Linked DNA regions of Drosophila melanogaster. The protein of the gene in region 3 interacts with the protein of the main gene of each other region in a pairwise test. Each region holds a gene or a part of one and is shown on either strand. Other genes may lie near its edges.

Evidence for each region.
Region 1: the proteins of eIF2Bbeta (region 3) and CG15478 interact in a two-hybrid assay, tested with the Drosophila melanogaster proteins (one large-scale study listed by BioGRID).
Region 2: the proteins of eIF2Bbeta (region 3) and eIF2Bdelta interact in a two-hybrid assay, tested with the Drosophila melanogaster proteins (one large-scale study listed by BioGRID).

The regions. Positions count from the first base shown.
Region 1 is NC_004354.4:7,709,831-7,721,770, forward strand, and holds CG15478 (uncharacterized protein), read right to left. Parts: upstream 8,103-11,940; 5' UTR 7,961-8,102; intron 5,287-7,960; exon of another isoform or gene 5,141-5,286; intron 4,662-5,140; 5' UTR 4,654-4,661; coding exon 2,995-4,653; 3' UTR 2,953-2,994; downstream 1-2,952.
Region 2 is NT_033778.4:23,382,318-23,392,012, reverse strand, and holds eIF2Bdelta (eukaryotic translation initiation factor 2B subunit delta), read right to left. Parts: upstream 5,493-9,695; 5' UTR 5,391-5,492; intron 5,224-5,390; 5' UTR 5,216-5,223; coding exon 5,186-5,215; intron 5,110-5,185; exon of another isoform or gene 5,007-5,109; coding exon 4,401-5,006; intron 4,342-4,400; coding exon 3,781-4,341; intron 3,725-3,780; coding exon 3,041-3,724; 3' UTR 2,961-3,040; downstream 1-2,960. Other genes in the region: Mtmr6 (myotubularin related protein 6), read left to right, coding at 110-272, 340-623, 687-821, 889-1,118, 1,196-1,708, 1,765-2,007, 2,072-2,294, 2,355-2,492; roh (reduction of Rh1), read left to right, coding at 5,716-5,896, 5,968-6,035; CG30414 (uncharacterized protein), read left to right, coding at 6,687-6,900, 6,966-7,008, 7,064-7,311, 7,367-7,779; yellow-d2, read right to left, coding at 9,462-9,695; CG13551 (uncharacterized protein), read left to right, coding at 8,916-8,965, 9,254-9,398.
Region 3 is NC_004354.4:2,702,265-2,710,777, reverse strand, and holds eIF2Bbeta (eukaryotic translation initiation factor 2B subunit beta), read right to left. Parts: upstream 6,208-8,513; 5' UTR 6,061-6,207; coding exon 6,005-6,060; intron 5,942-6,004; coding exon 5,855-5,941; intron 5,786-5,854; coding exon 5,329-5,785; intron 5,239-5,328; coding exon 4,853-5,238; intron 4,785-4,852; coding exon 4,712-4,784; 3' UTR 4,561-4,711; downstream 1-4,560. Other genes in the region: CG2681 (uncharacterized protein), read right to left, coding at 1-458, 1,092-1,814; CG2680 (uncharacterized protein), read left to right, coding at 3,436-3,825, 3,922-4,449; Ugalt (UDP-galactose transporter), read left to right, coding at 7,322-7,490, 8,003-8,513.

The DNA.
Region 1 (11,940 bases), 5.0 Mb from region 3:
AAAGTTAAGTTATAGTTTTATTGTTGTTGTTTTTGATAAGTCATTGTTCTTATAATCTGATTGGTAAAATTTTCTTTTATTGATATTCTTAATATTGTTTCTTAAAAATGTCAAACAAATGACTACCTCCATCTCGCTTGCCCGCACTGTCGCTGCTTTTGTTGTTTTAGTTTCTTGTTATTGTTGCTTTTGATAAATGTCAAACAAATAACGGCAGCTCTTCTTCTTATTCTCTCTCTTTGCTCTTTCTCTCTCTTCAAGTGGGGTTCTCTCTCACTTTTGTCGCTTATTCTCTCTCTTCCTCGTTGGTCCTGTATAGCACCATCCCACTCGCACCTAGCCCCACTTTGTTTTGACGCAAAATGATCCCGTTTACATTACATTTGCCTTTGATTTTGCGTCTTCGTTTTCGCCTATCTTCTTTTCTTGTATTCTTTTTTTTACTTTGAACCCTCCCCAGTTATTGCTGGAATTTTCGCTGATCAAATACGCATTTAAAAATATTTCTACAATACATTGTATACAAAAACTATTTTACTATTTTTTAAGTTACTTAATCATCATATTTGTAATAAGCGTGCTGCCACAATTAGTAACTTTGGATTAAGAAAATAAACTAAATAAATACCATAAACAAGAAATAAAAAAAGTCATATCGCTATCTGGAAAATTTTCTCATAAATATGTATGAGCAAATAAAGCGCGTTCCTCTCTTAATATAATCAGCATTTCGAGCTCATTTACAAGCATGAATTTAATACAACAGCAAAGTCAAAAAAGTGAAAAAAGACAACAAAAGCAGAACAAATAGACAAAAAAAATGCGAGCACTCACAATAACATGATAATTTGCCGAAGGCCAAATAAAACTCTTTGGTGGTAAAAGCAAGACTGCCTTAAGGTAGTCTGATTTGATTTGTTTGCCAAGTTGGGACCAAGTTCGTAGTTGCTCGAATTTACTTATGTATTTAGTGTCTGAAAATTAAAAGGAACAAATGAAAATTGATAAAGAAATATTTTGAACGGCGCGCCAATTAAGTGCTACCCATGCGGGCAATTTAACATGGCTAGCATTGACCGTCGATAAATTTTTAAATGCTCGATGTAACGGTTTCGTGTGCAGTATCTTAAGTCATAGATGGCGCTCGCTGTAACGGCTTGCCATGTGCTAACTTAATCCATAGATGGCGCCAGATGTTTCGGTTTTAGGTAATTTTTGAATTACAAAAACTAGTTTTTCTGTGATTGGGGTTCAGTTTCTTCCTAAAGTAGGCTTAAACCTAATCAGAAATTCGGATTTTCAAAGTTAATTTAGTTGTTGCAGGTACAACTTATAACAATAATTAAAATAAGCTAGTAATATAATATCGAGAGACAGTACCATTGAATAATCCCATTCCACCCTATGCAATAACTCTTTTTCACGTCTTCTTTAATTTCCTTGCGCGTTAGACAAACAAATCTATCAATTAAGGGGAAAGCTTTAAGCTGTCAACACGCCCAAGTACTTTTGTCCCCTTGGGATATGCTGCATTCATTGTTTGTTAAAAAAGAAACTCCACCCCATCTTCGCCCAAAGGATTTTCAACGCTTCTTCGGGTTTTCTTGAAGTATTTTCCTGTTTTTTTTTTTTTTTTTGTTCGTTGCCAGTTAGCCCGAATTGTCATTGGTAAAATTTTGTTTACAGCCGCAAGTTGATCTTATTGCTGGTTGGTATATCCTTACCCACACCCACTATCATCCCCATCGGGCTTGAGTGGAAACCGCTGCCAATTGTCGACTGTTGCATGAATTATGAGCGTCTGCCAAGATTTATGAATTTCGAGAGGATAACAAAAGTACGCAAGTATTCATGACAGGACCCTCCTCTAACCGCATAGAAATCCCCGCGGCAGCAAAAAGGGAAAAATCTGTCAGCTGTTAAGTTGAGTTATAAATTTCCTGCAATTAGGTTGAATTTCAATTTCGCTGCTATCTCTTCTTGCTACTTACTTTGATTACACAATCATGATGATGATGATGATGAGACCCCCACTTTGCTTCTTCTTTTTTTGGCCCCGCCTCTCTTAGCGATGTTCATGCAAATTTTTATCGACACTTTTGATTCAGACTGTACTCGTGTTGGTTTTTTATTCACTTTTTTGTTTTGTTACTGCTGCTTTGATTGGCTTTCAGTGCACTTTTTCTGCCTCAATGTGCAGAAATTTGCAAACTCATGAAAATCCATACGTTTGATAACAATGTTAAAGGGGGGGGGGGGGAAAACAAGAAGCAACATAAATAAAAACGGAAACGGAAACGAGCCTGGTGAACGCACAAGTCGCCACGCCCCCACCGTTTTGCATTGCAATGTGTTCATTAAGCAACCGGGTAGCAAACAAAATCAATGAATGGTGTAAAAATTAATATCCTGTGGGGCTCAAATGAAAAAAGAATAAAAAAAAAAAAAAAACGAGGAATGCAAGAGAACTGTGGCGGGAATTGGGTGGCATTGTCATCGTCAGCAGCAGCAGCCGGCAGCAGTTTTAATTTACACAAAGCGTAGTCAGGCGTGTAATGCTCGGTGGCGGTATGATGAAGGCTCCTTTTTTATGTGGCGCCCAACGTTGGTGGGCCTGAAGCTCGACAATTCGTGCAACGACATTTAAAAAATGCCTTAAGGCAGCAAATACGTGGAAGATGAACCAACAGGCGACGACGACGGCGTGAAATGATTTATGAAATTACTTTTACCGTTGCATATTTCTAGGGGCAGGGAAACTTCAACTTGGGCCACAGTTTCAGTTACAAGCTGTCATGTTTATTTGCAAAGAAACGTTGATTTGATAGATCTCTATCATTTTGTTGTATAAGCATTTATTGAGCGCGTAACTGTTTCTTCTTATTCTTCAAGTTACTTACCTTCTCAAAACCACCAATTTCTGTAGAAAATGAAATAAACAATGATCATATTATGGACACATTAACTTTATTCGTATTATTTAAATAAGTAGCCTCAATCGATTTGCGTGATGGAAGCCTCGTCATTGCTGGAACATCGACTGCTCTCGCCATCCGTGCGATACTTGATGGAGTCAATGATCTCCACATCGATGTCACAATTGCCCTGATTGCCGCTCGTTCCCTCCAAACCGGCACCCGTATCACTGGAATTTCGTTCCAGTGAATCTTCATCGCAAAGATCGGGTGCCGAAAGTGAGGCACTAACCGATGCCGATTCCGACTTGGCATCGATATCCTGACTCTGCACCTGCGCCTGATGGGCGGCAAACTGACTGTAAAGGCGTGGCAGATGTTGCAACATATAGCTGGCGCCCGATTTCGATAAGTTTGCAGCTGCAGCAGCGGCAGCAGCGGCTGCCGAAAGATTAGCAGCCGTACTGGACGGTTGATTTTCCTTAGTCTCGCCCAGATCATAGTATTTGGCATAGTGCTCGAATTTGTTGCCCAATGTGCTGGTGGTCACTGCACCACCACCGCCGGCGTTTGATCCTGCCGCATTGGCGCACAGATTGATGGCATCGTTTTGGGCCGCCTTGGGTATGGGTACAGTGAAGGCGGAGCCATGACGCTGTTTGCTCAGCAAATTACTGGCCAAACCGGAAGCGGAAGTGGCGCCCGAGCTGGAACACGAGCCGGGTGAACCTTCTTCGGCAAGTGCATTATTGCTACTCGAAAGCGGTGAGACATTCTCCTTCTTTCTATCGTATATATGTCCGGAAACGCGAAGATCGATGAAGAAGTGCAACGGATCGATGCCGTAGGGTGCATAAAGTGGTGGATACCAAACCGGTGGTGGTGGCGGCAGGACCAAATCCTGTGGTGGCAACGATGCCGCCGGCGGTGTATTGTCCTGCAGGTTAGTGTCGACGGCACCACCCAGACCACCAGTCTTATTGCCAGCCGTTGGTGGTGCCGTCGTTGGCGTTGGCGGTGTTATACCCATAGCACCTGGTTTGGTTTCCATTTTGGCATAGCCATAGGGTGTCATTGCCTTATTGGTCAGCTCTAGAGGTTTCTCCGGCACCAGTTGCTGCTGAAGTTGCTGATGTTGCTGCTGCTGATGCTGTTGATGTTGCTGCTGCTGCTGCTGCTGCTGCTGGTGTTGCTGCTGCTTCTCCTCTGCATCGCGTCGCTCCCGCAATTGCTCGTAGTATGGACGATGCGACCAGGAGCGTTTTCTTGGCCGCCTCACCAAGGCGGCCTGATGTTGCTGCTGCTGTTGTTGCTGTGCCTGCTGCTGCTGCTGCTGCTGTTGCTGCTGCAGCTGCAAGACACGCGCCGTCTCATTATTTCGCGCTTGCACCAAGGAACGCAGCATATCGCTGAAAAAGAAATTATTTGGTCCCACGGGTGCGGAATACAAATACGGTGGTGTGGCTGCCATTAAACGACTGACGTAGTCCTGATTTCTTAGCTCATGGATGTTGCTCTTGCTGCGTTGCTGCGGATTTTGCGGATTCGTTGCGGTTGGATCTGCAGCAGATGCTGCTGCCGCCGCTGCTGCTGCTGCTGCTGCTGCTGTTGTGGGCGTACTAGGCGCACTGGGCGTGGCATTGCTGGTGGTTACCCCTGCTGACGCTACTGCTCCTCCCGTTGAGCATGGCATCCCTGCTGTGTTGCTCGACGAGATGCTGTTACTGCTGTCCTTCATTGCTGCTGCTGTTGGAGAAAAAAAGTTAAGAACACACAAAAGACGTTGGCTCAGTTCTGTGGCTGAAGTCACTTGAAATTTATATTTGTATAGGGATATATATTTGCATTGTCTTGGACTGGCATTCCACCGCCTTTTCCATGCTCCCGCCCAACCATTACCCACGGGACAATTAAATCTGAATTTTCTGTTTGCTCCGAGTGAATCTGTCTCGATGTATAAATGTGTGTGAGTTTTCTCGGTTGGCAAGGAAGTCTAAATAATGACTGAAGGGACTTGGTGTTGAACTTGAAAGCGTCTTAAGATTGACTGAAAATCCAAGATGTTAGCAAATGGAATGTAATTGATAGAAAAGTAGATTAGAAATCAGTTCAAGCATTAAGCATCAAGCCCGCAACCTTTAGAGTCCTGTATTCGTATAATTGTAATAGCATAACTGCCATGTGCATCAAATCCATTGTTCCACAGCTGCCGTCAGCTAAGCTACCTTTATTATAACTTTATTAAGCCAACATCTGTGCCCAGCACCCAAAAAACAAATGAAATTTGCATAGAAAAACAGGCGCGCAAGTTCCCTCACTCTCCGTTATCCCCATAATTTTTTTTCCGTCTCCAACTCCCCGCTGATCCCTTAAAAGCTGTTAATAAGCTTACACACATCGCGCCAAATTCCAGTAAATTAAATGTTTCAACAGCAGTGACACCCAACCACCCTCATTGCCGCCTCCATTTCCGCGAACGTTGGAGGACAAACTCAATTGTTGTGTTGCCAAACTGTTGAGGCACTTGACGCTGTGTCCTGGCTGCTTGTATCCTGTGCCGCCTGTGTGCCTGTCAATTCTAACCAGGAACAGTACAGAATCACGCATTGAAGGACCCCCCCCCCCCATTTCCACGACTCCATTGCCTTGTTGCTCTTTCATTTTCGCATTTAAAAAGTTTTTAACAACCCACAGACGACGCCTGTTACCGAATACCCTATAATAAAACGAAAGTAATATCAAGGAGTACACAAATTGAACAATTTGAAGGCATTACTTAGTTTGTGAACTTTGAATTAATCCTTCATGATTTTTTCCTTCTATGGTTTCTATGGTTTTTTCGAAAACGAAAAACATAATTTGCAATTATTCATTATAGAATATATTGCATTTTTAGGTATCATCAGCTTCTATACGATTGCTTGGAACATTCATTTGCATTCCTTCTGTTTTTTCCGTTATTCCATGTTGGATTTGTGGAATTTTTTATTTTTATATTGTTTTTTCATTTCGTTGTAAAAATATATAAAGTTTTCAACCGTCGCAAAAGGAATATATGATTGGGGGTTTCGGAGGCGGAGATTTTCAAACGGACGGGTGTTGATTTGCATTTTTTGGCAGCCGTTGTTCGTGAGAGGTAAAAATGTTGGTTAGGGCGACATTTTTGCGACAAAGTTAAAATTAGATTATGCTAATTAAGGCGCGGTGGTTGTGGGCGGTGATAGGCGTGGCCAACCCGGCATCTGGTACTCGGTGGAAATTCCGTTGATTTTCCCCGGCACTGATTGATGCTGGGCAGAGCTTTAATTGCCAGTTTCTCTTCTCATTTTTAAATTGGTTATGGCTGTGGTGGCTCTGGAGCAACTGGCAGCATTTTAATATTCAATCAGCAGCTGTCGGCCAACTTTCTTTTATGGCCCATGCCCAAGTTTGTGCATAAGTTTTGCAGCTGAGAATAAGTCCGAGAACTAAAAATATGGAGCTGAGATTAATGCGCAAAGTGCATCCGACTTTTGTTTGTCTTTCGTCTGGGGATAAGCTGAGTACTAACTTTTGCGAAATTCTTTTTTTTTCCCCTTCTCAAACAGCGTGGCAATTAAAACCAGAGTAGAAAGTAATCCCTCCACTGGATTCCCCTTGGGTGGTGATCCACCCACTCAAGGCTGCCCAGCTGATTGATGTCGCATCATCGATGTTAAATTTAAGCCACCACCGGAAAATAGAAGAGCCGATTGGGATTGCGGGCAACCCCTGTAAGCGTACACTTAACTGGCACTTGGGCTGGGCAACCTTATAACATAATTACTGCATATCAAACAGCGATAAGTTGCCCATGCCACTTCATTCCGAAATCACTCTGGAGTTCATCTTCCCACCCATGGAGTTGGTTAGCAACCCTCCTCGTGCTCACCTGGTGTGCAACCCTGAACGAAGTCTATGTTCGCATTTTGTGCCATTCAGGCGCGGTTGTAATCTTTGTAAAGCGTGATGTATCGTGTAATTGGCGCCCAATGTGGGGCTTTATGAACAGTGGATTGTTATCGGGTTAGTTAAATAGTTTCAAAGGATGAAGAATTGGAAAATATGTAGCTGCCTAAGAATGTAAATCTGAAATTAGCTAATAATTTTAAATATAAAAAATTTTTTTATGACCAAACTAGATCGCTCAAATGACTAATAAATAACATTTTTAACCCTTGCTCGTTAAGCGTCCTGCCTGTTCCTGCCCTGTGTTTAAGCCACCCCGCTCATATCCACGCACATATGGGGACAAATGAACTTGTTGGTTTGTTGGTGACATGGCGTTGTGGTGTTAACGTTACAGCGTTTGACTGCGAATTAAAATAATGTGCCACTTGTGGCTTTCTGTCCATGTGTGTCGGCTACAGCAGACAGTTACCCCTGCCCCGCATCCGGGGAACTCTGTCCCGTGTATGTTGTCCGTATTCGTGTCCGTTTGGGTTGCCTGAAAATTTGACAAAATTTCATTTGCAACTTTGCCCGCTGCCAGAGATACGCATGCATCACAACGTTTTTCAAAATCGAATTTGCGTTGAACCCTTTCTGACAGGTTCTTCGTGTAGATTGATCTGGGATTTTGCAAAGGGTTGAAGTAAAGTGCAACCCCTGGATGCGTTTGAATTATGGCTAAATAATTTCTCCAATGAAAATTTGAAGTTTAGCTTGGATTGTTTCGGTTCATAGACTGACTGAAGTGCATAAAGTATTTTTGGTTTTATTCTAATCATTTGGATTAAATGTTTCAAGAAAGATTAGTAAAGTTCTTGGGTTTGTTAGGCTTTGATCGAAAAGTTTAATTGTAAACGAATGCCTTATGAAGCTTATATATAAGATTTTATTAGCTTATTATTAACCTTATTAAAATATCAGGTTAATTATTAAGAATGTCCAAATTGTGTTTTATTAAAAGAGGAGTTCTTAAGTTGGAATATAATCATTGATTGCATTTTCACAATAATATTTTTTATAGACGCGTTTTTTTAACACATTCAAATCCGATCTTGCGAGCTGATCAATTTTCTCACCTATGATTACTATATTGATAGATATATTTGTTTAAAACTTATTTCACTTAAAAAAAATATATAAAATAATATAAGCACTGCTTGGGTAACGCGTTGCTAGCGGTCTGAACTGCCGTCGATGACAGTTAAAAATCAAATGAAATGAGTGCCAGCAGCGGCAACAGCAGGAAAGCAGAGCAGCATCCAACGAGTCCTGAGGCCGAGACAGAAACAGAAAAACAGAGACCGAGTACCAGAACCAGAACGAGGCGAGTTCGGTGCGATTTTAAAATTATGAATTGTTGTAAATGAAACGAGGCGTAAGCAGAGCGCCAGCAGAGCTGCTAGGTGGGTGGTGGTGCGCCACAGTCGCTGTGGCATTGGTGGTGCGCATCAGCAGCAGCAACATCGACTGTGGCAGTAGCAGTAGCAACATCACCAGCAGCAACAGTGCTAAAGTGTTCATGGAAACCACCCTCGAAGAAAGGTAAAAAGTTTTCAAAAAGACGACCAAAACTAGAGCGAGACGTAAGCTCATTGGTCTATGGGTTGATCGCTTCCGGTTGGTGCAGTCTTGCCAAATTTTACACGTTAAAGATCGACTGGGAAACGGAAGTAAAGAGACCTTCTTAAAATGGTTTTGTTTAGGTAATGAACTGCTTATTTGGCGCCCAACCTGGGGCTTATGTGCTTCGGAACACAAAGCATTATCATATCATGCATTATCATAAATCAAAATTCTAAGAATTAAATTCAAGAATAAGTGTTATATTTATTACTGTGATGGAACTTTTTTTTTCCACATTTCTCGGGCAACGTTCCCCGGTTTCAATTACCAATCTCTGGCGGATGTTGCCAGTGGAACAATGGATGCAGTCCTTGGCTACGGGCAACGTGTTGCTAAAACGACAGCTCAACTGCGGGAGTAGGTGGGTGATGGGCCGGTTTGAGCAGGATAAGCTTATAATTTCTATTACAATGAAGGCATGCGGATGCGGTTGGATATGTAGAGCGTTGCGTTGCTTTCTTTGCTTAATTTTTTGCTGCCACCGACTGTTTGCGACTTCATTAGCGACACCTCCCCACAAGCTGTTGCCAAGCAATTGCATCGTGTGTCTGTGTACGAAGATCACTGGAAAAATTTCACTGTTATTGGTATAGTTGTGTGTAGTTACTTGTTTGTTCTAGTACTCAGTGCTAAGACTTAAATAATCATAAATAATTATGATGAAGGTATGTGGATTTTATTTAAACATTTAACAGTGGCTATAGCATTTTTCGGCTGTGCATCTTTGCAACTTGCCATCGGCAATGGAATCTGAATCCAGAGCAATAGCTTTGAAAAACTCGTGTAGCTTTTTTTGCAGTTTGCTGGGCTGAGCTTGTTTGAAATAAATACCGCATTTTTTGGCTCGTCCTTTTTTGCACTAGTTGTTAGCTGTTGCCACACGTTGGTTGCGTGTTTGCCACCCACTCGCAGTATTAAAAAAAAAAAAAAAAAGAAAAGCTCCCATGGCTGCACATCAAACGTCAGCACGGAAGGAAGCTGTTTCTGTCCAGGGAGTTTGGGTATGGGCGTTTGGCATTCGGCATTGTCTAGCATTCCCCGCCATCACCCACCAAAAACCCACACCAAATCCATTTTTCCCTCACCCAACGGAGGCTGTGAATGTTTACACTTTGGATTTGGTTCTGGTCGTCGCATTTCCCTTCCACCTTTTTTTTTTTTAATTTTTGTTTGGACTCGACTCAGCTCGAGATTTTGAATACAACTCGGTTAACGGTTGTTATGGCAATCCGTTCGGAAAAGGGACCTGGTTTTATAGCGTGTAACAGCGGCTGTTGCAGTGGGGAAGCCCCTCGAATAAGTTGCAAGTTGGGGCGGTCAAAAGATGTGGAATTTCGAAAATGTTCAGCATATCAGAAAATGAAAAGTATGATCAAGGTACGCTGATGAATAAAGTGTGATTTAAATAGGTAGATCATAATATGTTTGAAATGCAGAGTTGCATTTCGATATTGTGTTGATCGATGAAAGTTTGAAGTGATGCTGATTCCTACATAAATTAAATATAAAATTAAATTTATAGTTATTTTCGAGGGACATGTTGCGTGCTTTTAACAATTTAAAGACACTATATCTTCCTCTCTTTTATAGCCGCATGCAACGTCTCACACATGCCACACAATTTGTGCCACTTTTGTGATGCGCATCCATTTCCGCTTGGGCGGCGGCACCACTTTCAACGCTCCACCCATCCGCCAAACCACTCGCTTGCCATATTATCCTTGCTTTTATTATGATTTTTTTTTCACATTTCACTCGAGCGTTGATTGAAATGTTGAGCGAACATACACGCACATATACAGACGGAGAGACAGACAGAGAAGGTTTGAGGTGGTTGGGTGGTGAAAGCAAACAAAGCGGTGCGAAAGGGAAGGCCATACGTTGAGTGGTGGTGGGTGGTTTTCTGGGCTGGCTGGGCTTATTTGTTTGTTTGCATGTAAATTGCAATGTACCACCGTTCTTAGACCTGCACCCTCCACCCCCCACCACCATTAGCCCGTTTCAATTTTTTAGATTTTAAACTTTGTTTCTTGTCTTTTTGTTAAATGTTTGCCGCTCCCTCCGCTGATTGTCATTTGCTTTTAGCGCCGCATTACCACCCTCCATTCTCCATTATGAGTGGTTCGCGCGGTTGGTGGAACGTCCATCATCCATCCATTTCATCCATCCATCAAGGACAATCAAGGCAAACGCGCGAGAGCTTTTTGTGGGTTTGATTTTGGGCTCAGGCCAACAAAAAAAAGATTCCTTTTCCTTTTTGGCCCAAAAGCGGGTAAAATATGCTTTTTGGGGGGCAGCGGCTAATGAATTAGTGGGCGGGATATTTAAAACTTTTTTCGTTGGACTTTTGCATAAATTAAATTAAAATTTTATTTTCTGTTTGGTGGGGGGTGTCTTTTAAAAAGATTTTGAATTTTTTCAAGTGAAACACCTTGTAAATATTCAATATTTATTTAAGTTTTTATACATTTCATACATTTGTTTATTGGCATTATAACTCTATTACCACGTGGCCACATACATATGTAAGTATTTCTGCATTTTCTCTGCCCTCCGTGAAAACCCAGCTTGCAATCCTGACAATGCGAACAATCTTGAGCAGCTTAAGTGCCGCTGGCGTCGGATTTGGCAAATATCCGTCAGATACACACAGTGTATCACAAAAGATATCCATGGAGCAGGAATCCCAGGAGCAGGATCCATTTGCCACACACCCATTTCCATTTCCATGTCCCTGCACTCACGCAGACTGTAATCGCTTTACGTGCGCTTTGTTGACAATTGTCAAGTGGCATTCAGAAATGGGTGGGAAATTCTATGGAAAAACTCATGGAAAGGGGAAAGGGAACGTTAGAGGAACATCATTGACGCCACATGTTGCCGGCGACAGATGCGTTGGATTGCAAATTGTCCCAGGTAAAGTGAGTTGGCACTGCTTTTATTTCGCTTTTCACTTTATTGAGACAGTTCGGATTGTCAGTCAATTGGAGGCTTGAGATTTGCATTGGATGAATGGGGAAAAACCCACACACACCCACAACTGGCAAGGCAAACAAACAACTGGGGCAAACAACATATTTTGAACGACAATTTTCACGCATGCAAATTAAGCAAATGAGTAAATTTTGCAAAAGCAATTTTCTAGCTAAATCGCTGGATAAACTTGGCGTTCGTCTTCTCAAAATATTAGTCTTGTTTTGATTCATTTGATACTACCCGCAACTCCACCCCCATTCCATTGTCCCCACGCCACGCCCACGGAATAGAAGGAGACCAATGGCAATCAAGCGCTTAGGAAAACTTTCGGCGTTTTGCCGTTGTTCGTTTCCTTTCGTTAGTTTCACTCCACCCACCCAGTGGTTATGAAAAAATAAACTAGAAAAAATGGGTCCTATAGCGTGAGAGGTGCTCTAAAAGGGAGGAGCTATAATCG
Region 2 (9,695 bases), on a different chromosome or scaffold from region 3:
CAATCATCCGAGTAGCTGGGGGAAATAAGCCAACGCAACCCATTCTCTGCAGATTTATTAACCACACCGGACGTTATATACTTGTATTTACGCTTTGCGCTCTCTTCAGATCCTGCACATGCACGTGGCCAGCATTGAGAAGCTTCCCTTGAGCACGACAGGATCTCCGCTACTCATCCGCTGCAAGACCTTCCTCTCCGTAACTTTCGTCATTCCCAAGGACTCCGAGTGCCACGATGTCTACACTTCGCTGCTGAAACTCTTCCAGCCGGGTAAGAATCCACCAAACACAACAATGCGGCCGCCATTCACAAGCCTACATTCCTATCCCGCGAACAGTGTCCATCAACAAATTGTACTGCTTCAACTACCAGCCGAACAAGGATGATTTCCCCAAGAACGCTGGCTGGGATTACTTTAAACTGGAGGCGGAGTTCAAGCACATGCTGGTGCCCAACGAGGCCTGGACGCTGTGCTCCATGAACGAGAAGTACGAGCTGTGCGACACCTATCCGCGTCAGATTTACGTGCCCAAGGAGGCCACCACGCTGATGCTCATCAGCAGCTCGCGATTCCGCTCCAAGGGGCGGCTGCCAGTGCTCACCTATCTGCACAACAACAAGGTTAGGCGAAGATATACATAACTCATATTATCAGCAAACTTACATAACTGGGAACCACTGCAGGCTTCCATCTGCCGCTGCAGTCAGCCCCTGTCCGGATTCAGTGCCCGCTGTCTGGAGGATGAGCAGATGCTGGAGGCCATACGCAAGACGAATTCCAACACGGACTACATGTATGTGGTGGACACGCGACCGCGGGTGAGTGTGACAGGGGAATCTCCCGAGGCGAGCATAAATGCAAATAATCCATTTACGCCATTTGCAGATTAATGCCATGGCAAACAGAGCCGCCGGCAAGGGATACGAGAACGAGGCCTTCTACGAGAACATCAAATTCCACTTCCTCGGCATTGAGAACATCCACGTCCAGCGTGCCAGTCTGCAAAAGGTGCTTGAGGCCTGCGAACAGAAGTCGCCCACGATGAGCGCCTTCATAAATGCCCTGGAGTCATCCGGCTGGCTGAAGCACATTCGCTCCATATTGGACACGTCGAGGTGAGCCAACAGACAGGAGAATCTCCCAATGGCATTGTGGACTGAGTTGTTAACATTCTGTGTGTGTCACCCTGCAGCTTCATCGCCAACGCCGTGGACAAGGGCGTCTCGGTGGTGGTCCACTGCTCCGACGGCTGGGACCGCACGGCCCAGGTCTGTTCACTGGCGCAGCTGATGCTGAACCCCTACTACCGAACCATCAAGGGCTTCCAGGCGCTAATCGAGAAGGACTGGCTGGCATTCGGGCACAAGTTCAGCGAGCGCTGCGGTCACATCCAGACGGATGCCCGCGAGGTGTCGCCGATCTTCACACAGTTCCTGGACTGTACCTGGCAGCTAATGTCGCAGCGCAGCGAGGCCTTCGAGTTCAACGAGCGGTTCCTGCTCATCCTGCACGACCATGTGCACTCATGTCAATTCGGCACCTTCGTGGGCAACTGCGAGAAGGATCGCTTGGACCTAAAGCTGGCCGAGCGCACCTTCTCGCTGTGGGGCTATATGGCCAATCACCTGAACGAGTATATCAACCCGCTGTACAAACCAAATGTAGACGAGGCCATTAAGGCCAACCTGGCACCGCAGTGCATCAAGTGAGGACTTTCTGGAATGAGCCAAATCCTATATAAACTATGCGCTTCTCACACAGGTTCTGGCGCGGCATGTACAGTCGCTTCGAGAGCGGCATTCATCCGCGGGAGCCACTGGGCGACGTGCTGCTCGATAGCAAGGAGCACTGCAACTCGCTGGAGGACCACGTGCAGCATCTGACCAAGCGCATAGCCAGCTTCAAGAACTACATTTCCAAGTCGGCCAAGAAACTGCAAGACGCCACCAGCGCCCCTGGCAAAGTGAACAAGGAGCTCTCCAGCAACGAGATCAATGACAACAAGTGCGTATGATAGATATTAGTTATTATGCTATAGTATGCTTTATAATCCATCCGCTTATTGCAGATACAACTACGATAAGAAGCTTAGCGAACTGTCTGCCGCCGACGACGATCATCCGCTGAAGGCCAGCAACATGTCCTTCGCCAGTCTGTCGCTGAGCGCGGAACAATCCAGTCCGCCGCAGGCGCTGCCCGAGGAGATCAACTCCGTGGCCGTAGACTGGAAGCCCATGCGCAACGTAACCACCTGCTCCTGCTCCACGCCCTTCGATCAGTTCAGCAAAAAGGTGGGTAACTCCGCGTACTTAAGCAAGCCTGCCACTGATGATGATCCAATCCTCGAATAGACTCACTGCTGGCGCTGCGGGGACATCTTCTGCGAGCGCTGCATAGACAAGAACGTGGCTCTGCCAGGACACGACAGTGGAAAGCCGGTGCCGGTGTGCCGGGGCTGCTTCCGGCAAATGCAAAAGCAAAGCCCGTAGAGGCAAGGCAGGCAGGATCGAGGAATGGAGCGGAGCTAGGGTGTGCAATCGATATGGAAACGCTATTAAATTTATTGTGTGTATTTATTGTTGCATTTGTAGACTTAGCTGCTTGTAGAAGCTCATTCAAGTTGTTGCAAATGGAAATCAAAAGAGCAAAACCAAATCAATCCACCAGCGATTGGCTTCCAGGCATCGTCCTAGTCTATAAGCCGGGCACAAAACTGTATTTTGTTATTAGAATCTAGAGCTACATATTTGCTAATCCCAGCCCCACCCGCACGGAAAGTACAATTGCATGTCAGAGCGCAGACTTGCTCTTGATCAAAATATTTATAATTTCCGAGGAACTCGGCGGTCTGCCGGATGTACAGACACTTGGGCCTAGCCCTCCTTCGCAGCAGCGGTCCCTGGCATCAAGCATATTCCACTAGCATACCCGTAAATTATGAACTACGCATCAATCTTGTTTGTCGATTTGATCAAAGTGTAATAAAACTTATTTATTCAACAACTGCGAGTTCTACTGAGCGATCGATGAAGTCTGATTAGTAGCCAATGTCTGGCTTGATGCGGAGTATGACGGGAACACTGGTGCAGGGCAGGATGGCCACCTCGGTGACCACGGCACTCACCAGCTCCGGCGGAGTAATGTCGTAGCTCAGGTTGAGCGGCAACAGCTTTCCCTTGGCCGCCCAGTTGCTTAGCTGGCACTTGTCGCCGCGCACCAGTTGGTTGGGATCGCTCAGCTCGTTGTAGACGATGGCGTCCGTCTGGAAGCGCTCGCTGAACTTGTGCGTCTCGCAGCACACGAGCACCGGCACGTTGTGGGCATTGGCCACCAGGGCCACCTGGGCGGTGCCCGTTCGCGCCATCACGTATCCGTTGGCCAGCAGGGCGTGTGCTCCCAGCAGCACCTTCGTGGCCTCCGCCATCACATAGCCCACGGCGTTGATCAGCACGTAGGTGCACGGGATTCCGGTGGCGTGCAGTCGGCGCAGCAGCTCCTGGCCTTCGCATCCGGGTCGCGAATCGACGACAATCACGCGGAAGGCCACCTGGCGCCGCTTGGCCTCCTCGCAGATGAACTGAATGAGGGAGGAACAGGCGAAGGTCAGCAGCACGTCGCCATCGGTGATCTTTTCCTGCAGAAAACCGCTGATCGCTTGGGCCGCCTTGCCGATTTGATTTTCAATGTAAGTATCGATGAAGTGGACGAGCAGCTCCTTCGACTGTTGAGCAAATGCATGTTACCAATTGAGTTAAAAAAATATATTTTGATTCTTACCTCCGTTTCGGGAACATCCGCCGGCAGCTGTGTCAGTTGGTTCTTGAATTGTTTGTACGCATTGGACACGGACACGGCCAGCGGTCGGCACTTGTGCAGGTGGTCTACGTGGTGCTTCACGGCGGCGTCCAGGCTGCGACCAAACTCCTTCTTGGCGGGCGTCTCAAAGTCGTGGACAACCTGGCGCAGGGCGTGCAGGAAGGCAATGCATCGAGCATTGGACCCCACCACCGTGCGCTTGGCGTACTGAACACCCAAGCGCGCAATGCTCGGATGAACGAGTGGATCGTTGATGAACTGGCTGTCTTCCTTGGCGCACACCAGATGGTTGAACAGCTTCACCCGGCAGTCTACATTGGGCGTGCTGGCTGGACATTTGACGGGGGAACTGCTGGTGGCCGCTGTGGTGGGGGAAACGCTCTTCCGGTTCGGCCCTTTGGGAGCTGCGCTGGGTGGTGCCTTGGCTGCATGCTGGGCCTTTTTAGTCTGTACCTGGGCCTTGGCTGCCCGTTGGGCTTCTTGGATAGCGCGACGCTCCGCTTTGCTAAGAGCTGGCTTTTTCTGTGCAAGGTGAGGTGAGATGTATATGAAGCAAGGAAATCATAAATGTAGCAAGTTACCTTTTCCTGGTCCGCTTCTGTTGTCGAAGGTGCAGCACTGGCTGCGACTGGAGCTTTTTCTGCTACTTTCAGGTCAGCGAGCTGTTGTGCGATGCCCTCTACCTTGGCTCCCCCGCCTTTGCCAGCTTTCTTGGCTGCCTTCTTGGCCTCGCGTTCCGCCTTGATCTGCTCGCGTGTCTTTTCACCCGCCTCCGCATCCTTGCCATTTACCGCAGCTGGCTGAGTCGTCTTTGAAGCCACTGCATCCTGCACCTTTGTTGTGGTGGTGGTCGTCAGCTTAGTGGTAATGGTGGTCTGCTCCACTTCAGTGATGATTTTGGTGGCCGGAGCAGAGGGAGTGGTCAGAACAGCAGGAGTGGCGGCAGTAGGAGTCGGTGCAGTTTTCTGTTTCTTGGCCTGCTTAGCCAGCTTCTTCGCCTCCCGCTCGGCCATTATCTGGTCACGAGTCTTCTCCGTGGCCAATGGATCCACAGCATTTCCGGGCATTGCACTCGTGGCGTCGATGGCTGATGTTTCTTGTGTCGTTGAATGGCTGTCTTCCAGGCGATTTCGTTTGTTGCGCGGTCGATTGCGTTGCCTTTGCTTCTTGTGCTTGCTCTTCAAAGTCTGGGCGTCAGTCCCAGTCCAGATAGGGAGTACGGAATTAGTTATTGATGTAACAATATGTAAAACTATCAAACTGTTTGGATCAAATACGAAATCAAATCGGCCGACATGCTAAATCAAAACTAAATTTGGGAAACTCGCTACTTGGCAAATTAGTTACTAAGAGGCAAGCTAGCTACCTGTGGCACCTGTTCGCTAGTTAAAACCATTTTGAAAGCTTGAAAAGAGAGAGACATGGCAATTAAGGTGAAAAAGGATGTGAAAAGGTTAAAAAAGGTTCAGACTCCTGTGGCGGTGCAATTAAGATCCAAGCTGAATCCTGCGTCTATGGGTAAGCACGAATGCTGGCTTATAGCACCTAAGCAGTGTGCTTGCTGTCTTTACCTTACGATTCTATATTATTATTCGGGAAAAGTAACTCGAAAGTTTTGCTCACGATGGCAAAAAAACGTCCACCAGTTGATAGCGATGTAAGTGAATCGATAACCGTCTTGATTCGCCGCGGTAAACACATGGCCGGCCTTGCCAGACTCGCTAGCAGCCAGTGTCATTTTTGGTGCTTTCCTCGCCGCACGAGTTGGCATTCCCATAGCTGTCTTTTATTTGTGAGGTTCGTATGTTCGTCTGCCGCCTCCGAAAATTACATAATTTTTGCGTAAATTGATTTCGTTTAATTCGACCCTCCACAGCTGCGAATTCCACGACTACCATGGCCGACAAAGCTGCTGCCGAGAAACCCGCTGGACGCCCCATGCGCTACCCATACACTTTCTCCGCGAAGATAGCCCAATTCCCCATCAAGCACTACATCAAGAACCAATGGATCTGGCGCTACTACTTCATTGCGGCCGTGGCCTGCGTGCCCGTGTTCTACAAGATCAGCAAGCTGGGTGCGTAACACTCGCCTCGCGACCTCTGGGCCCCTTGTACTAATGCACTTCTCCCTCCTGCCCATTTTCAGCCAACTCGCCCGAGAACAAGAAGGCATGGGCCGAATCGCAGGCCAAGGAGCACGCCGAGCACCACTAGGCGGCCAGTAACTTAGTCTTAATTGTCGCATCAACATTTCAGAGCTGTTTGTGTCGGACCCAACGTGAAATCGGCGAATAAATGATTTGAAACGAGGTTAAACTTGATTCTTATTGGAGAGTGCACTGCAACATCCAAATACGGTCTTATTATGCGGCTATGACACCACCTATGAGTTGAGTTCGGTCACACTAATGATTTGTTATATGAAACACAAATTAAGTTGCTTGTTACTATTAAAATTCATAACTAGCAGCATTTAATTGGATTTATTAAAGAATAGATTAAATTATATTCCACAACTGATCGCGATGAATATTCGTTTACCCAGATAACTGCATTTCGAAGGGTTAATCGAGAAGCTAAGCAGGAAAAATATTCAAGTTCAAATTTGTATAAGTAGTTGGCGCAAGACAAAGCATCACAGGGGTCTAATTTTTGGTAGTGAGTTGGAATTTCCCCAGATTCGTAAATAAAATAAAAATAAAAAAGTACTGAGAGCACTCATTAAAACAAAACACTGATTCCTATCATATCCGTTTCCGTTGACGGTCATAAAGAGTGTACTGTTATCAGCTGGTCAACATAAAATTCCTCAAAAATTACCTCAAACTCGACTAAGCTTGCCAGTCGCTCCATTACCGCGAAAAGATGAAGTTCATCGCAGCTGGATTAGCTCTTCTGGTCTGCTCCATCCAGTTGGGTGAAGGAGCACCTGGTCACCTGCTAGACTCCAGTTGTGGCACGACAAAACCAGAATTTATCCCAATGATCACCGGGGGCGCAGACGCAGGCCTATTCTCAAATCCATGGATGGTGAAGGTGCTAGGCGAGAAACTATGTGGTGGCTCGCTAATCACCAGTCGTAAGTATTCAAATGTGGCCCACGAATGAGTTCTTTGTCCAGTCACCTGCTGCTAATACTTTCAGGCTTCGTTCTCACGGCCGCCCATTGCATCGTTAGTACACACATGTAAGTGAGGCAGCACTGTCTTTCGGCGAACACTTACGAATTCCCATTTCCACAGGAGAGTACGCTTGGGCGAGTATAAAACCCGCTTTCCTGGCAAGGATTGCTCGCGCTGCGTGCCCAAGTCATATAAACTCAGGAGAATACGCTTGGGCGAGTATGACACCCGCTTTCCTGGCAAGGATTGCTGCGTGCCCAAGTCATATGAACTCGCTGTGGATAGAAAGATTTTGCATGCGGATTATAACCTAAACTTGGACAACGACATCGGCCTGTTGCGCATGAAGAGCTTCGTCCAGTACTCAGGTAATGAGGTGGATCCAGCAGCCAGGGCTCCCTAAGCAGTGGACATATCTTTCAGACTACGTCCGGCCGATCTGTCTCCTGGTCGAGGGACACATGGCGGAAAGTCCCATCTTCAACATCACCGGCTGGGGTGTCACCAACGATGGCACGCCCAGCCGGAGGCTCCAGAGGGCCACTGTGTACAACACCGACCTCCACTTCTGCCGAAGCAAGTTCACCAAGCAGGTGGATGAGTCGCAGATTTGTGCTGCTGGCACAAATAGCGATGCATGCCACGGCGACTCGGGAGGCCCGCTGAGCGCACAGGTTCCTTTTGCCGGCAGCTGGCTGACCTTCCAGTACGGACTGGTCAGCTACGGGTCGGCGGCATGCCATTCCTTCTCCGTTTACACCAACGTTACGCACCACAGGGACTGGATTGTGAACGCCATCGAAGACTTCAGCAGAGCTTTCCAGCTTAGACTCTAGCTACTCATAATAACATTTCGTTGGCTTTTCTAAGAAAATATTATCAATCCAAAATATTATCTCGAGTGGTTTAATGGCTCCCCTGACTTCTGTCGTAGACGCCATTCGGGTCAATAATATCTGCATTAGTATTTATGTACATAAGCGAAGCTTATCTTCAGCAAATTTTAACGCTATACGCAGCGAAGCCTCGCTTTGACTGATTCCCCAGAATTCTGGGGAAAAACCGAACCCTTGGAGAAGGTTCACTTCTACACCCTCACTGGCTGGGGTCACACCGCAGACTATAAGCCCAGCCGCATTCTCCAGGAGACCACTTTGCTTGCGCTCGAACAATCGTGTTGCAACAGCAACTTCAACATCGAAGTCGACCAGTCCCAAATCTGCACCACTGGCGTGGACAGCGATGCCTGCGGTGGGGATTCCGGGGGCCCGCTGAGCGCGAAGCTGCTCTTCGGGTTAAAGAAGCGGGCTTTCCTGCTCGGACTCGTCAGCTACGGGGATGCATCCTGTAGGATCTTCGAAGTGGCCACGAATGTGACGCACTACGTCGACTGGATTAAGGCAACAATCGACGAGAACTCAAGTTAAAGCGTTAAAGCGTCAAGTTAGAGTCCAAGTCGATTGAGAATTTAAATTTGTTGCTAGTAAGAAATCTGCAATTGAAATATTAGTTTACCATGATTAAGTAAACAACAGAAGAAGCTTAGTTTTATTTGCAGTATGCAAAGGGTATAAAGCGTTATCGATTAAAATCGCAAGCTCACATATTCGATAGACCACGCCGACTGTGCTCGCTCTGCCGCGAAGGTATTATTTAAGGGTGCGCCTACGGTCACTCTGCAGAAAACTTTTGTCGTCGCAAAAATGTAAGTAATGTTCAAGCGCGCCGCACTTTTCCGGCATTAAATCTAGTATGTGCATTGGGTATTCGTGTATATATTTTATACAAACAACAAACAAAGAACTGGCTAAAAATAGCGGCTCTTTTATTGCGACTTGGTTTTCGAAAAAGTTCAATGCACTCCGTTTTGTTAAGGAGACGGCTTTACAGTTACTCTTCGTAATGGAGTTTTCTCAATAAATTGTATTTTCTGCGCTTCTCTTGCAGCTAAACTACTCAAGAATCAAACAGAATGTTCGTTGTACGTCGTAGCGCATCTCGTCTGTACCCCGCTGGAGTCCAGTGAGTTTCTACCCACATTTAACCCCCGTTCATAACTACCTGCTAATTGGCTTACAAGACTTAACAGAGCACTCATATCTCATTCGCCATATTCAAAGTGTTATGTATGCCCCCAACTTACACTTTCCTCAATGTTCGATAAGATAAACAATTCCGATCCCATCGAAATCGCTTTCACCCTGCGCGCATGTGTGTGTGTGCAGTCTATGCTGACTTCACTCCACTGTTGCGTAACCGCACAAAACCAGAAGATTCTAATGGTTCCCACCGCCATTTTCCGCTCCACAGGCTGGCCAAGATGAGCGGCAGCCAGGTGGGCGACCTAGGCAGTGGCGCCGGCAAGGGAGGCGGCGGCGGTGGCTCTATCCGCGAGGCCGGCGGAGCCTTCGGCAAGCTTGAGGCTGCCCGCGAGGAGGAGTACTTCTACAAGAAGGTGAGTGACCCAGAAAACAACTTATTTCATCATTAGCTTTATTGAGCAGCAGCGGGAAGCGACTCAGTTGCAAGGCCTGCCGCTGAGCAGCTCCTGAACACCGCACTTCTGTATGCGAAAGTTTATCTCCTTGTAGTCCAGACCCGCTCCGAAGGCTTTCTGCAGCCGATTCGACAGCACCCACAGTTCCTCCTTGCCCTCGTGGTTGCGCACTATCTTGAGTCCACTGGCGAACTGCAGTCGCTGCTCATCCTCCACCAGCATGACCAGATTCTGATGGCTGTAGCCGGTGCGAAT
Region 3 (8,513 bases):
TTGTCTGGCAGCAGCACCGTCACCTCGTAGGCGAAGTTGTACTTGCTGTCCCGCCGGTTCGACGTGCAGGTCATGGTGAACAGCACACGCTGGCGGTCGTGGATCTCGTAGAAGTTGAACATTTCGTCGTGCGCCTGGAAGACATAGTAGCCGGTTAACGGTTTCCGCCGCGTGCCTAGATTCCATTCCAGATCAGCGCTGCTTGACCGAAACAGGCGGTCGTCGTGCTGCTCCTCCAGATGCTCTTTCCACTGCACCTCGCGCCCCTGCCAGCGGCAATCGCCCCACACTCGGCCCATGAAGCACTTCATCGGCTTGTACATGCACTGCTGTTCGTGCCACGGCAGCAGGACGACCGGCATCCGCACCTGGCAGCCGCCGGAGGCGTGTCCGCACCGGAAGTGCGCCTTGGCGCACAGCGCCTCCACGGTCAGCGATCGGGAGTTGGTGAAGGGTTCCTGAAACATAAAGTTATTTGCATTGACATCGGGATTGGCATACAATTTAGTGTGCAAGTTCGAATGTGATGTGTGTTACCCATATCATATGCCCCATTTCCTAGTATTGATGGAAAGAACTTGATGATGAAGAAACTATACACTTTATCATACTTATCATAGTGATAGTATGACACGGGCTTTTCGATGTACTTATTTTGTCCATTGGTTAGCGAGCATACAAGTTTATCTATGGAAAAGTCCGAGCAAACGTTAATATCGACTTCCTTCTTGCAGATTTCAGATTCGGTTGGATATTTAGAAGATGGCACTAATAAATATGCCCTAGAAGAGTGAACTGGTGGCACCACACATTTCCTAGTGCAAGACAAGGCTTATTTTTTATAGTCACACTTGTAGTGCAGATAGTGGGGCTGCACTTGAAAATTGATTAGACACCCTCGGCTGGGTAATAAACTAATCTCCACCGGAGATCATTCTGTCCTGCGCCTGTCGATGATGGCAATCTGCGAGTAGCTTTTCCTTAGTCTATACCAATGTATATTTGCACGTCACTAGATAAGGAGCGCACATTGGGGCAATATGATATTGATAACCGAACAACACTTTTGGCGAGCTGACGTCAATTTTTACCTTGCAGAGCGGGCACATGAGCAAAATGCGGGTGCACTGTTCACAGACACTGTGGCCACTCTTGCACAGAAGGATGGGCGCCTTCATGGCGCCGGCACAGCCGGGACACCTCAGCTCCTCGATCAGTCCCTCGTAGTGGCGGGCGGAGACGGTCGGCGGGCCTTCCTCGCTGGGCGTGGCAGGGCTCTTTTCCGGCTTGCTGGGCGTGATGACGCCTTCGGGAAAGCTCTGACGGATTATGGAGCTGTCCGGCGAGAGAGCTCCATTGCTCGCTGGACCCTTGCCATCGGCGGGACCTGTACTGCGGGTGCGGCCCAGCATTGGCGGCTTAGGGGGCGGCGAAAGTGGGGATCGCAGGGTCACCACATTCGGACTTGGCAGCGTGGCGTATTTCACGTTCAGGGTGAGCGTGTTGGGGGGCACTGGTTTGGCTGGCTCCACCTTTTCGGGTTCCTTCTGCTGCTCCTGGGCTGGGACCTCATCAGGCGTTTTCTTCGCCACCTCCTCCGGGGGCATCTTCGTAGACTGCGGCTCGTCTATGGCCTTCAGATTCTTCTCCAGGTCCTCCTCCCGAACCGTCGATCCGTTTGTGGCCTCCGGCACCTCCTCATTGATCGTGCTGTTGAGAAATATGCGGCGCTGCTCGTTGATCTGTTCGATGCTCTTCAGCTGAGCCAGAATTTTTAGATCCTCCTCCTTTCCACCATTGGCCAGGGTAGACATTTTCGGCAATTTTCCTTAGTTTTTGACTAGTTGTCGTCTGGTTGTATAACCGCCGGGAACAGTTGCTCCAAGCTCAGGTGGCCGAATGTGCTTTTCTTCTGGCGGAATTCTTCGCAAGCGTTCGCAACTCGTACTTTCGTATCTTATCAGGGAGACGCCTAACTAAACTAGCTGGCCCGGCAATCGATTTGGACTTGTGATGCGATATACCAAAAAGCCGCAGCCAAAACCAACCAAACCAAACCAAACCAAACCAAAAACGCAGCCGAACCCCAAGCGACGCGACTCACACGCGCTCGCACATCAAGTACCCGCCCCGTTGGCCAGTTCTTTTGCCTTCACCGCCGCGGACGCGGACATGGACACGAGCGTCTTCCGGACCCCGCCAATTGAAATGTTGCATTTGAATTTGAATTATTGGCCATTTGTGGTTTCCTCCGTTCCGGCGGCTTTTCCATTTCCCCCTCTCCGCTTCCGTTGGCCAAATGCCGCAGCCATCAATGTCAAGGTGTTGACATGTGTGGCCAGGGTCTACGGCCCAGCACAGTGGGACCTCCGTAGGGCGACAGGCATTCTGTTGTCTACGCTGCTGAACTTTCGCAATTGTCATCATACTTATTAGTTTCTCCATGCGTCAACTGTACCTTTGCTTTTCGAACTGAGGAAAGCGTGCTCATACATGTTTCCTCGAGTGTTCACTGTACACGTTTGTGCCTGCCTGTTATAAGCTTGAGCGAACAACAGCAGCAACAAAAGGCCGATGCACCACCGATCAATACTTACATACATACATATGTATGTATGTCAATCGCCTTCAATCACGTGTATCGCAGAGGATTTGTAAGAAATGCAATTGAAAGGAAGAAAAGGAAGCATGTGAATCGCAAAATACATATAATATTTATAGCATGCCAAAAGCCTTTGAAATTTAATTAAATTTTTCTTTACAGCCATTTTGGGTTTGTGGTTTCGCTTTGATTGCATAGAATTGAATTCAATAATAAGGCTGTCAATTATTTCGAGACCAATATATTTCAGTCACATTTGGCAGTGGAACTAGTTCGATAATCTATATGGTTCTAAATTATATCCGGTAAATTCAAATGACAGTCAAAAGCATGAATAACCAAAATTTGACGAATGCAGCAGACTCATTTTATAAGTTGTTCCTTAAGATAAACTTGGTATAATCACGCGTACGCTTGATTGTAAATCCGAACTAGGAAGCAAATGAGATACATATGTATGTATGTATTTTCCGGACTGCTATCCGCTCTGTCCGGCAGATGGGAATGTGAAATAGACAACAAATCGCACGAGTCTTTCATGCCGCGTTCCACACAGAAGATCTTATATTTACATACGGAATCTTATCGGACGAGCCACTCCGCTCGGGTTCGCTAAATCGTGTAATAAAAGATACTTAGCACATATGTACGTAGGCATAGGGTTGTATGGGCGAGGGGTGGTTGGGTTCGGGTTCGAGGAACCGGGGGAACAATGTCAATGCGTTGACATTGAAGGTTAAATGCCGGCAAAGGCGGTTAGTCGGCTGTGGAATTTCCGTGCGCGCGCAACCAGCATCCAATTCGTTCCTGTAAGCCAAAAAACCAACATTACCATGTCGCCACCACGACACATTTTGAAGCTCAGCCTCGAGGAGCAGCGGCAGTTCATCGATTCCTTCGATTTGGTGATCAGCGACTGCGATGGCGTCGTCTGGCTCCTGGTGGGCTGGATTCCCAACACGGGAGCCGCCGTCAATGCCTTGAAAGCGGCCGGCAAGCAGATCAAGTTCGTGTCGAACAACAGCTTCCGGTCCGAGGAGGATTACATGGAGAAGTTTCGCCACATCGGCGCCAAGAACGTCCAGGAGGACGACATCGTTCATCCGGTGAAGACCATTGTCCGGTACCTGAAGAAGCACAAGCCGGGGGAGCGGGTATACTCCCTCATGTCCCTCGAAGCGAACGAAACGTTACGTAAGCACAACATCGAGTTTGAATCGCTGGTAAGGGGAAGGTTATTACTTATAAATATATATATACAATATATTTAGTTCAAGAGCTTCCGTGTGACTATTAAATTTCATATCATTCTCCTTCAGCAAGTCAAGGAGCACCTGACGGCCGCGTCGCTGGTGGATCACCTGGCCATTGAAAAGCCCGTGGGCGCTGTGCTATTCGACATCCACTTGGACCTCTCGTACGTGGAGCTGGCGAAGGCCATTAGGCACCTTCAGGAGAATGACGACTGCCAGTTGATAGCCGGCGGCAGCGATGTCATCATGCCACTGGCGGAGAATCTCAATGTGGCCGGGTTCTTTGACTTCCTGGAGCACGTTAAACGCTACACGCAACGCGAGGCCACGTTTCTGGGCAAGCCGTCTCCCATTTTGGGCGAAATGTTTGGCGAAATGTTCGAGATTCGTGATTGCAAGCGCTGCATCTTCATCGGGGACACACTGGTGCAGGATGTGCAGTTCGGCAAGGCCTGCGGCTTCCAGTCCCTGCTGGTACTTAGCGGCTGCCTAACAAAGGAGGACATGCTGAACGCCCCGGTGGAAGCGCAGCCGGATTACTATGCCGATAGCCTGGCCGACTTCACGCAGCTGCTTGAAAATATTCAAAAATAGGTTGAGGATCGTGTGCCGCAGGGAAATTACGAGAAACGTGCTACCTGAAATTAACTATATCAACCCAAGATAAAGTAGTAATGTTCTTAAATCGAAAACCGATCCACCGTTATTGCTTATTCGATATAATTATTGTTGAATTTTAAAGTTTATAAATGTCTACGAAATTGATGCATTTAAATCAATCCAAATCGAAATGGGCTTGCTACTTTACTGTAGACTTTATTGGTAGAATTGCTAAAACAACGAGACAAACACGATTTCAAATCTCCAAATCTTCGGGATGATACAGTTCCGTAAGGAGGCGGTACACATACGAGGGGGCATGGCCACCGCTAAGTAAAAAAAGAATCCAATAAATGCAATAAAAAAGAGTCGAAAGGCCGATAAGCGCACTACTTACGTGTTGGATATGAAAAGGGTGACCAGTTCCGGAGGCACGTAGTCGAACATGGGACTGTATACCTTGGCTTCGCGCGCTGGAATCGAATCGTAGGGTATCACATCCTCCGCACAGCCGACCATATTGAAGGCGTCCTGCTCGCACAGATGCAATGGTGAGAGTTTGTACATGGGCGCCAGTACAATGACCGGCACGGAGTAATGCTTGGCGGCCAGGGCCACTGTATACGCTCCACACGCCGCTCTGAGTCCTCCATTAGCCAGCACGCTGTGCGTACCGATTATTACCTTGTTGACGCGCGACATCATAGCGAAGATGGCCGCATCTGGGATCACAACAATCTCCACATTCTTCTCGTTGGCCAAGCTGGCGGCCAAATTGTGACCCTGTAAAAGACATAGGCAGTTGTTAAGCAACATAAGAGCATTTTCTTACACCCCACAAATACTGTCGTCCCATAAAGAGACCCAACTAACCCGGCAGGCTGGCGCACATTCGGCTACGATGATGGTGAGAAACTGACGCTTTTTGATCGCCCTTTTGAGGAAATTCTCGACGCTGCGCGAGTGTCCCAGTGTCAAGATGATCTCCGACGAATGGATGTGCTCCTCGGCCTGGACGCAGATGTTCTCCGAACTGGTCTCCAGCTCCGTTTCCACCTCCTGCAGGTGGTCGAGCAGCGCTTCCCGCAATCCATGCTGGGGCACCGAGTAATCTACGCTGACGTTGCTCTCGCTGGTCTGCGTGACTAGCTTGTGAAGCGACAGCGAGGCCTGTGAGTCGTCCGCGAAGTGTTGCACCTTGGCGTGCAACAGATCGAACTCCTCGCGAGTCAGCTTGAGGATCCGCCTGGCAATGTTCGAGGTAACCGTCTCCTGGGGCAGAGCTGCCTGCAGGATCTTACACTGGTCGCGCACAATCTGCATGAGAGCACTGTCAAATGAGGGGGAGTTGTTTATCAGTTAATGTGTTATCCTTGGTGTGCCATCCCTTGCAACTCACTCGGCGTTCTGCCAGCTCTTGCTCATGATGATGTACTTGAAGATGTCCAGCGTCTTGTTGGTTATGTTGTAGGATCCCTCCACCAGCCTGCAAAACATATGCCACTTTAACAACCAAATGAATCGCAGTGCCTGCCAACCGACGACTTACCCCACTTTGATGGCGTGGATGAGCTGTGTGATCTCCTTTAGCGGCTGTTCCTTCATCGTGTCCTGGCGTCTCTGGTCTTTGCAATTATGAATTATCAACTAAAGTGGCCAACTGTTACCATTATTCAGTTAGAAAACTATTTACGAAATCGCCACACCGAGCAATGTTATCGATAGGCGGCAGGCGAAAGCGAATTCTAGTGATGAACTCAAAAAAGTAAAAGATTTAAAATCAACACGGAAATTATTAATGTTTTCATTTATTGCATTTGATTAAATTAATTTATTTAATCCCCCCAAATGGCAATATATTTGTAATGTTGTATTGTAAATTTGATGCATCGCAATTATCAGGTGCCGCCAACAGGTTGTTCATCATTCACTGGCTTAATTTGATGTTTTATGTTTATTTTAATTGTCTGCATATACTGGCTTTCATGACGTATTTTCAACGGCAGCTGAGTAAATAGCCAACCTAGTGCGGCAAAAATAAATTTCGCTGGGCTTAAAAATTTAACATACATGTGCATGTAGAACAAGCATGCACAATATGTATTTATGTATTTCGTCCATGAGTTTTCTTGTTTTCTACTTTCGATCCCCATGCTCTCTTGTTAAATTTTAATTTTAATTTTAAAGTCATAATATATACATTAATTTAAGCAATCTCAATGCCCGATTATTGTATATCTAGCTTTTTTTGCAAGCAACTTCTTTTTTCGCGAGTTCCGCCACAATGCCAGCACTGTGACTATCGAAAAGTCGGTCTCTGCTGCGAAAATAGCAACAAAAGCTGCACGCCATGGGCGTAGCTTGCTTTAAAATGGGGATCCATCCCCCAGGAGCATATGTAAGGTGTATTTACTTTACTGAAATGCACAATGCACTTTTAAATTTTGTTTGCATTCAATTAAGAAGGTTTCGCATTTATGACCCCCGTTGCAAGCCCAGGACCACGTCCCTGGCGCGCAGCAACAACAACCACATAGGCGGCGATAAAAAGCCGCCGCTGGCAGAAGCTTCGGGCTCTGATTGTTGTTTACGTGTCGCCCGGTCCAGTGGAGTCGTCTTCATTTGCGCTCTTCTGCTTTTCTGGCCAACTTGAAGGGAACGAACTGCCAAACGGAACGGCCCGCCGACAACTGATCTTGGCCAGGAACGGAGTCTTTGTGTACCCCCAACTACGGCGTTTTGTTTGCCTTCGGTTTCTATTTGGTTTTGGAGTTGAGACAATAGAGCTAGAAGCGTAGCACCATGAATAGCATACACAGTGAGTATTTGGCCTTTAGTGCGGTGGCGTTACTCCAGCGGTACTGACATGGCGCTCCTGCCCGCCCCCGTCACGTATTCCTATTCCCATCGCACAGTGAACGCCAATACGCTGAAGTACATCAGCCTGCTGACGCTGACCCTGCAGAATGCCATCCTGGGCCTCAGCATGCGCTACGCCCGCACCCGGCCAGGCGACATCTTCCTCAGCTCCACGGGTGAGTGCTTATCCAAAAGTCCAACAGGTCGTCGGGCTCAGCAGGTCAAGCCGGTTCACCGCTTAGCAGATTCACCTCGTTGCCCAGAGCCACTTCCACGAAACCTCGACGTGGGTCTGTCCACGCAAGCAGCAACATCAGCAGTAAAAGCAAACGAGTCGAAGAGGTGGAGGTGAAGGTGGTGTAGGAGCAGTGGCAGGCGGGGAATGGTCGTTCGGGTAGATGTGAAGCTGCCAAAGAAACTGATAAGCAGCCACTTCCGCATTTAGCTCCTAATAGCTTGATAAAACTGTTGGGGAACTTCTACCGCGATAGCTCAAGGAGGTTTGGTTGGCATTCTTGAATTACATATGGGTTTACATTTTGCCATTAAACTTTGGTTATTGCTTTGGTGACTCTGTGTGTAAGTTAACCGGACTTATTTGAAAACCCGAACAGCGATACTTGGACTTATTAGTATATATGTACATATATTTGATTGATTGATTGCCATTTTGCGCCCTCTTTCGCAGCCGTACTCATGGCAGAGTTCGCCAAACTGATCACGTGCCTGTTCCTGGTCTTCAACGAGGAGGGCAAGGATGCCCAGAAGTTTGTACGCTCGCTGCACAAGACCATCATTGCGAATCCCATGGACACGCTGAAGGTGTGCGTCCCCTCGCTGGTCTATATCGTTCAAAACAATCTGCTGTACGTCTCTGCCTCCCATTTGGATGCGGCCACCTACCAGGTGACGTACCAGCTGAAGATTCTCACCACGGCCATGTTCGCGGTTGTCATTCTGCGCCGCAAGCTGCTGAACACGCAGTGGGGTGCGCTGCTGCTCCTGGTGATGGGCATCGTCCTGGTGCAGTTGGCCCAAACGGAGGGTCCGACGAGTGGCTCAGCCGGTGGTGCCGCAGCTGCAGCCACGGCCGCCTCCTCTGGCGGTGCTCCCGAGCAGAACAGGATGCTCGGACTGTGGGCCGCACTGGGCGCCTGCTTCCTCTCCGGATTCGCGGGCATCTACTTTGAGAAGATCCT